Caenorhabditis elegans: one gene and its partner. The protein of the gene in region 1 interacts with the protein of each later gene in a biochemical or structural test. Each region holds a gene or a part of one and is shown on either strand. Other genes may lie near its edges.

Evidence for each region.
Region 2: the proteins of hda-1 (region 1) and lin-53 form a complex in vitro, tested with the Caenorhabditis elegans proteins (one study listed by BioGRID).

What each region holds. Positions count from the first base shown.
Region 1 is NC_003283.11:14,523,359-14,527,915, reverse strand, and holds hda-1 (Histone deacetylase 1), read right to left. Parts: upstream 2,528-4,557; 5' UTR 2,509-2,527; coding exon 2,335-2,508; intron 2,289-2,334; coding exon 2,171-2,288; intron 2,126-2,170; coding exon 1,259-2,125; intron 1,166-1,258; coding exon 939-1,165; 3' UTR 505-938; downstream 1-504. Other genes in the region: ril-1 (RNAi-Induced Longevity), read left to right, coding at 3,805-3,954, 4,003-4,108, 4,268-4,431.
Region 2 is NC_003279.8:9,617,651-9,621,326, reverse strand, and holds lin-53 (putative histone-binding protein lin-53), read left to right. Parts: upstream 1-1,566; 5' UTR 1,567-1,569; coding exon 1,570-1,725; intron 1,726-1,779; coding exon 1,780-2,363; intron 2,364-2,410; coding exon 2,411-2,924; 3' UTR 2,925-3,116; downstream 3,117-3,676. Other genes in the region: nra-2 (Nicalin), read right to left, coding at 1-1, 44-587, 646-772, 820-971, 1,017-1,094; putative histone-binding protein rba-1, read left to right, coding at 3,226-3,369, 3,417-3,676. UniProt on the Caenorhabditis elegans protein: Core histone-binding subunit that may target chromatin assembly factors, chromatin remodeling factors and histone deacetylases to their histone substrates in a manner that is regulated by nucleosomal DNA.

The sequences.
Region 1 (4,557 bases):
GACAAACAATGAAAAGTATGAATGAGTGGAAAGAAAAAAGAAAAACAAAGAAAGAATCGAAACATGTTTTCATCTTTTTTGCATTTTCAACAACAAGAACCCAGTAAAAAGCTAATTTCTCTCTCCGTCTCTGTGTGAAAGGAGTGCTCGGAGAGCCGATTCGATTCCATTCCCAGGTGGGGCTAAAATTTGGATAAGTGGATTTTTATGATGCAATTTTTGTTGGTCTCCGTTTTGGAGCACACCATCCAACATCAGATGAAGACAGACAAGGAATACAATTGAAAATAGAAATGAGAATTTATTCTGTAATATGAGACCACATGCGTAGTCATCATAATTCGTGTTATAATTGCTCGCTTCCAGACAATAATTATGAAGCAGCTGAAACTGACGACATAAACGATGTCAACTGCAAAAACTTTAGTCTTCTTCCATTCGAATTCCAATGTGACAAATTCGATTTTTCCAATTTCCGAATTGAAGATAGACGTTGCGCCGGTTCCAATCGAGTCAATTTTATTAAATAAATAAAAACGAAGAAATTCACCAAAATACAAAAAAGTGTTCAGGATCTGACTGTGGAATTGGAATTGTGTGCCAGTAAAATGGGGAGTGTGGGACGACAAGAGAAATGGAAATCGTTGAAGGGGGTAGATTAGATGTGGATGTGAGGAGTAAGGATGTTGAGGAAGTGCAAAACGGGTAAAGGATACTGAGATAAAAAAGGATTAATGGGGAAAAGTGAAGAGATCTTCCAAATAAAAGTGCTTGAATTTGAAAAATAAATAAAACAGTTGGGATTTGGGCGGAAAATTAAATTAGATTTAAGGAAAATCAAAAAGTAATACTCATTTGACAAGGAAAAAGTGGTGTACAGTGATTGAATATTATTTTCAGAGGAGATACTGAATTCGACGGCGGCACATTTTAGTGTTTTACTCTGTCTTCTGACGCTTTTCACCACCTTCCGACTCAAACTGAGCTGCTCTCTTCGCATCGCTCTCGTTTCTTCGATCATCTCCCTCACGCTCACCATCGTAGAAGTCTCCATCGTCTTGAATCATTCCATCGGTAATTTGTGGTGGTAGTCGTTTGTCGGGATTAGCTTGGTCGGCGATCAATGAGTCATCATTCAATGCAGAGAGGGCGTCTTCTGGGATCGCTGAAAAATGGAATAATTATGAAGTGTTCAACAAACATCTAATAATTTTCTGACAGATTCTAAAAAGTGAACAAAAATTCGTTCAAAACGTACGTCTCATTTGAACACTTGGAACAAAAGTGAGCTGCTCGAGATTGGCGATGACGTCAGTTTGCAATTTAGCCAGCATATCGGAGCTATTTTCATTTGCTGCATTCGACGACTCGATGTGAAGTCGGTAGTTTGGTCCAAAGTATTCGAAGTAGTCATTGTATGGCAACTCATTTGGAACTTCCTTATCGACGGCAATCGAGGTTTCGTACGTCCAACAACGTGCCACATTTCTTGGAGTGTATCCACCTCCACCGACCATCATAAGTGGAACGTTGTAGCTTCGGAAGAAACGAGCACATTCTCCGTGGCCTTTCAAGGTCAGATTGAATGGTCCAAGTCTATCTCCGTTGAGAGAATCAGCTCCACATTGAAGAACAACAGCACAGGGATCAAATCTCTCCATAACCTTTGTCATGATTGGTTTAAAAATACTCTGGTAAGAGACGTCGGTGATTCCATCGCGAAGTGGAACATTGACTGAATAGAGCTTTCCTTTTCCAGCTCCTATATCTTTCAGGTCTCCGGTTCCTGGGAAGAAATCTCCATATTTATGGAATGACACTGTCATTACTCGATCAGTCGTATAGAACGCCTCCTCTACTCCATCTCCGTGATGAACATCAATATCGACGTAAAGTACTCGCTTGTGGTACTTGAGAAGCTCGAGAATACCGAGAACGATGTCATTGGTGTAACAGAATCCGGACGCCTCGCTTTTCTTGGCGTGATGGAGGCCTCCCATCCAATTGATAGCAATGTCCACCTTCTGCTTGTTCAATTTAGTGGCAGCAGCCAGAGAACCTCCCGAACTGAGTTGGCAGAACTCATAAAGACCATCAAAGAGAGGACAATCTTCTCCAACATTGACTGAAATGAGACAATACATTTAGTTTTAAAAAGAATATAACTTACACTTAAGCATTTGTTTGTTGAAGGATTTCAGATTATCTGGATTCGCACTCTTCAAAAACGTCATGTACTCGTCGCTGTGAAAACGAGTCATGTCTTCGAATGATGCAGGGAATGGGCGCTAAAATTAAACGTTTACAATATTTCAATGAAGAAATATTACTTACGAAAATCTCTAAATTCCGGTACAGACCATAGTTGAGAACGAGATGATGGGTCATTCTGATACGATGTGGCTTCATGACGTGCCCTTGACCATAATAGTAATTTCCAATGTTGGAGTCATAGTAGTAGGCGACACGGCGCTTACCGTGCTCCATCAACGGGCCGTTTGAGTTCATGTTTGATGGTCGCAGTAGACTGAAATAACAAGATTGCTCGAAGAAAAATAAAATGAAGAGAAGGAGAAGGTGTAAGACAGGTTATGCAGTATTGATCGAGTTTTTGGCTAATTTTTGGTAATCGATATAAACGCGACGTGAAAACGCTCATTACTATAACACATTTTGATCAATAAACTGAATTCGGCAAGATCATTGAAGCGGAAAAATATAAGAATTGAGGTTTTGTAAAAACTTTGAAGGAATATAATTTTCAAAGACATATACTTAAACAGGTGGCTGTGGTTTTTTGGAATAATTTAGAGCACTGGAAAATTTCGCCAGTGCCAAGGAATAAAAAATTCTGACAATATGATATACTGTCTTTTGGGCCTTGTCTTGAAATTATTTAAATTTTCTTGGCACAATTTCTACAGGAATCTAAACTAGCCAGCCACAATCTATTATCAAAAAATATCAATCGCACAGGCCACATGGCTTTTGATTTTTATTTCTTTTTTATTTAGGCTCCTCCCATGATTGACCTTTAGTTTAATTTTTAAATTCACTTCGGAAATAAAGTTGTGGGAGGAGCTTAAATAAAAAACAAAAGCCACGTGGCCTGTGCTATTGATATTTTTTGATAATAGCATTTTACGAAATTGAGATTAATATTTGAGAGTGAGTTCTCCAATGAATTTCCTGGCGCCATTGCTGGAAGTATTTTTATTTTGAATCGAAAAATGTTTAAAAAATATTATTCAGTGCCTACAAATCGATATTTTCTTCCTTGAACGGTGGGTCTATTAGACAGGTGCAGCTCAGTGAAAATAACTATTCGAAACACTTCAAGCGTCGTCTTTTTATTATATTTTGAACAAATATAGATATAATTCTAGTAGAAAACAATAAGAAAAACAGAAAAGTGAGAGAAAAACGAGGTGAACGGTGAAACAGTTTTGAACGAGAACAGGAGGCAGACAAAAAACGCAGCGTCGTAAGTGTGTGCGGCGTGTTTGCACACAACCGCGAGCACGCACAATCTTGCAAAAAGGGGCGGGACGAAAACCGCCGTCAGTTTTTGGCTTCCCAATTTTTTATTTTTAAGCTAAAAATTGCTCTTTTTGAGTTTTTTTTCGATGTAAAATATTGATAAATATAAGTTATTTTGTTTATTTCTTGCAATTCACGTTCAATTTTTCCCCACGCTCTCACGATGTTGAATTATGTCAATTATCTTTTTTTTTAGCTTAAAAATATCAATATTCAAATAAAGCTTAACTACATAATCATTTTTAGTTTTGTAGGTAATCAACTATGGTCGTAGGAAAGCTCTTTGAGGCAGCAAAGTGGACTGCCGAGACAGTCAAAGGAGCCGCCGTCGTCGTTGCTTCTCCAAATGCTCCAATCCCGGCCACAGACCTTCATCCACGCATGCCAGCCCGGCCATGGACCGCTCAAGAATACGTAAGATTTCCCGGAAAGTATGAAGAAAATAAATAATGACAATTTCAGTTGAGAATGTGGTCCTGGCGCCATTGCTGGAAGTACCTCCCAATCTTCCGTTTCTACATTTACTCAGGAGTCATTCTCTACGGAGTCTACAAATTCGCCCTGCCAAGTGAGTTGATGATTTACTTAAAAAAAATAGTATATTTCCTGATTTTAGTCTGGCAACTTCGTCTGGCACGATGTTGCATTAAAAATTTTTGTAGTTTATTTTAAGTTTTCCTGAAAATAAATTGACGAATTCAACTGATTTTTATTTTAATTATTGCAGTCAAGCCACGCCACATGGTTCAATACTCCAAAGGAAAGGAAGACCATCACCATCACGAAGTCGAGCACTGGTGGGGAATTCGCCAAAAGTTGGCCGATAAGGAATATTTCAAGAAGTACAACCCACTCAAGAAGGAGGGTGAGGTCGAAGTTGGACACTACTAAATTGTTCGTTTTCTTTCCCATCTAGCCGAATATCCTCTCTAAACTCTGTTTTTCATCCTCGCTCGTTTTATTAGTAACGGCACATCCAAAACTAATGTTCATCTTCCGATAGTTTATAAGTTTTGG
Region 2 (3,676 bases), on another chromosome or scaffold:
CCTTCAAAACCGGTAAAACGACACTCTCCTTTTACTGCATTACCTTTTCTAGAAAGTCCAGATTTGGCATAATCAGCGCTGTCAAAGCCTTTCTGGTACTCATCGATCCAGTGACGAGTTCCTTGATAATTGAGCTTTCCAGCTGCTGTCCAAATGAACAAAATATTGTATGGAGGACGTGTGCTTGGAGAATCATAGAATTTTGACAGAACAGCAAGCAATTCGAGAAGTGCAACTATACCAGACCCATTGGAATCAGCGCCAGGCGAGACTCCTGGAACGGCCGATTGTGTGTCATAGTGTGCCACAAATGCAATCGTAGGTGCAGCACGATCTCCACTACTCAAGCGACCAACAATATTCAGTGGTTTGTATGAAGGTGGAAGTTCTGGACTTTGATCGGAAGAAGTGATACTGATTGTGTTTCCGGAAAGTGATTGAAGCAAATGTTGCAGGGCTGTGGGAGCTTTTTCCGAGCGAGTATTGACATCGTGAAGAATAGAAACGGCGTCATCATTGAAAGGAGCCACATAAACAGCCAAGTCGGTCTTTGCGCTCAACAACTTTGCTTCAAGATCGATGAATGCCTGAATAATGAGCATAAATAACTTTTATGGCAATATGAAATTAAATGTTCAAGCTAACCTTCCGATCAATATCGTTAAGTTCATCAAGATTGTCGGGAATGAAAATAAGCACGGCACCGGTAGAAAGTGCCCACATGTCATCGACATCTGTTGTAAGAAGATCTCGCCATGTTGTAACCATAGTTCTAGATATTAAAATATTACTATTTACAAATGAAATATCCAAAAAAACCTGCGAAGAGTTCTTGCACCCAAGGAAACAGCTTCATATGATACGCGATAATTTTTGCATCCATAAATGTTACCACTGATTTCGTATTGATGAAGACGGTACGCATGAAACTCGGTTTCTACGACTTCTCCAACTTGCTGGGACCCGTTCACCTAAATATGGAGAGTTCATCTTCTAAATCATTACCAACAACTTACTACACAAATGGTTAACATTAAAGTCATGTAGAAAAGAAGAGCCGGACTTCGGAAAAAATCGATGATTTCATCCTGCATCTGAAAAAAACATATCTTAAGCTCAAAATCACGAGAATCCTGTGCAAATTAGGATGAAAGATCTTTCGGAGTAGGAATTATTTAATAACACAAACTATCATGATTCTACAGAAATCGATAGAATTAAACCAGAATTGATGATATATAATACCCGAGTAGGGAGAAAACTGCATGAGTTTTCTGAGCGGAATTCAAATGAGCCAAACATGCTCTACCGTACCTTGCAACAGCGGTGAAGGCAAATCGTTGCGAGACCCCTCCCCGCGAAAACCGCGACGCGCACACACTTTGAAAGTGGGTTTTATCGGTCTTCTACAGTTTTGGTCACTTTCCCGCATTAAAATTCTCTGTTTTAATATATTTAAATTCAATTGAATTAATATTTTATTATTCACCCCTTCTTTGTTGTATTATTTTATCTAACTACACTGTTTGAACGATAATTATTCTTTGCAAAAATTGAAAATTTCAGGAAATGGCCACTCTTGAAGATGGAACCTCCGAAGATCGCGTCGCAAATGATGAATACAAAATTTGGAAAAAGAACACCCCGTTCTTGTACGATCTCGTAATGACACATGCGCTTGAGTGGCCTTCACTCAGTGTTCAATGGCTCCCAGACGTTGCGAAGGTATGTGTTCTCATATAATTCACAACTTTCATGAAGTGAATTCAAATAATTTAGGATAACAGCGACCATACTATTCATCGGCTCATTCTTGGAACTCATACTTCAGATGAGCAGAATCACTTGCTTATTTCTAAGATCTGTATGCCAACGGATGATGCCCAATTTGATGCATCTCGCTACGATACCGAGCGCAGTGAATACGGTGGTTTCGGAGCTGTTAACGGAAAAGTGGAACCCGATATTCGCATTAACCACGAAGGGGAGGTTAACAGAGCTCGTTACATGCCTCAAAAGTCGAATATCATTGCTACAAAGTCTCCACATGCTGATGTTTACATTTTCGACTATTTAAAGCACTCTGCTGTTCCTCGTGATAACACGTTCAATCCGCTTATCAGACTGAAAGGACACACGAAGGAAGGCTATGGATTATCATGGAATCCAAACAAAGAAGGTTTGATTCTATCAGCGTCAGATGATCAGACAGTTTGTCATTGGGATATCAACGCAAATCAGAATGTTGCCGGGGAATTGCAAGCGAAGGATGTTTTCAAAGGTCACGAGTCAGTCGTTGAAGATGTTGCTTGGCACGTTTTGCATGATGGTGTCTTCGGATCGGTTGGTGACGATAAGAAATTGTAAGCTTTTGTTTTTTTTCTATTTATTAACTAATTAAAAATTATAGGCTCATTTGGGATGTGCGCACAAGCACTCCTGGACACTGTATCGATGCTCATTCTGCCGAAGTTAACTGTCTCGCATTCAATCCATATTCCGAATTCATTCTGGCCACCGGATCAGCTGATAAAACTGTCGCTCTTTGGGATCTACGTAATCTACGAATGAAACTTCACTCATTTGAATCACATCGTGATGAAATCTTCCAAGTTCAGTGGAGTCCACACAACGAGACTATTCTTGCATCCAGCGGTACTGATAAACGTCTTCATGTGTGGGACCTATCTAAGATTGGAGAAGACCAATCTGCCGAAGACGCGGAAGATGGTCCACCAGAGCTGTTGTTTATTCACGGTGGGCACACCGCCAAGATCAGCGATTTCTCGTGGAACCCGAACGAGCCTTGGGTTGTGTGCAGTGTGTCAGAAGACAATATTCTCCAAGTGTGGCAAATGGCTGATAACATATACAACGAAGTTGACGAAGAAACTCCAGCCGATGTGGTAGAGAGACAACAGTAAAATACGTGAAACGCGCTTAAATTATTTGTATTTAACTTCTATCCTTCTTTAATTTTGCATCTCAACAAATTGTTCATCTTACCATTTATTCAAACGCATATTCTTCACCAACTAAGTTTTTAAAGTTAAAATGTTACCTTGAGATATGATCATATTTTGTTGAACCTGAAATAAATTCGATGACCATTGTCAGATAACTGTTTTGAAATATTATGTTAACGTGATTGTTGTGATAGCTCAGATTGTGATATTTTTGGTTTTTTGTTGTATCTTTTGTTATTTCAGGCAATTTCAGAGCACAATGAGTGAAGCTGAATCGTGTGAAGAAACGAGTAAAGAACATAGAATTTGGAAGAAAAATGTTCCATATCTCTACGATACAGTCGTCACAAAAGAGGTCGAGTGGCCTTCTTTATCAGTGCAATGGATGCCTGATGTCACAAAAGTAAGAATCGGTAAATATGATTTCGCCTTCTTCATTATTTTTTTAAGACAGAGAACTCGGATTCATCGATGCATCGAATGATTCATGGAACACATACTTGTGGAGGAGTTCAGAATCATCTCATGATCTCAAAGTTCACAATAACGACAGACACACCAGAATTCGACGACGCTAAATGGGATTCGGAACGTGAAGAGTTCGGAGGTTATGGAGAGGGCAGCGCTGCAAAATGGGATACTGAGATTAAAATCAACCATCCAGGAGAAGTTCATAGGGCACGTTACATGCCACATAATCCTTTCATTAT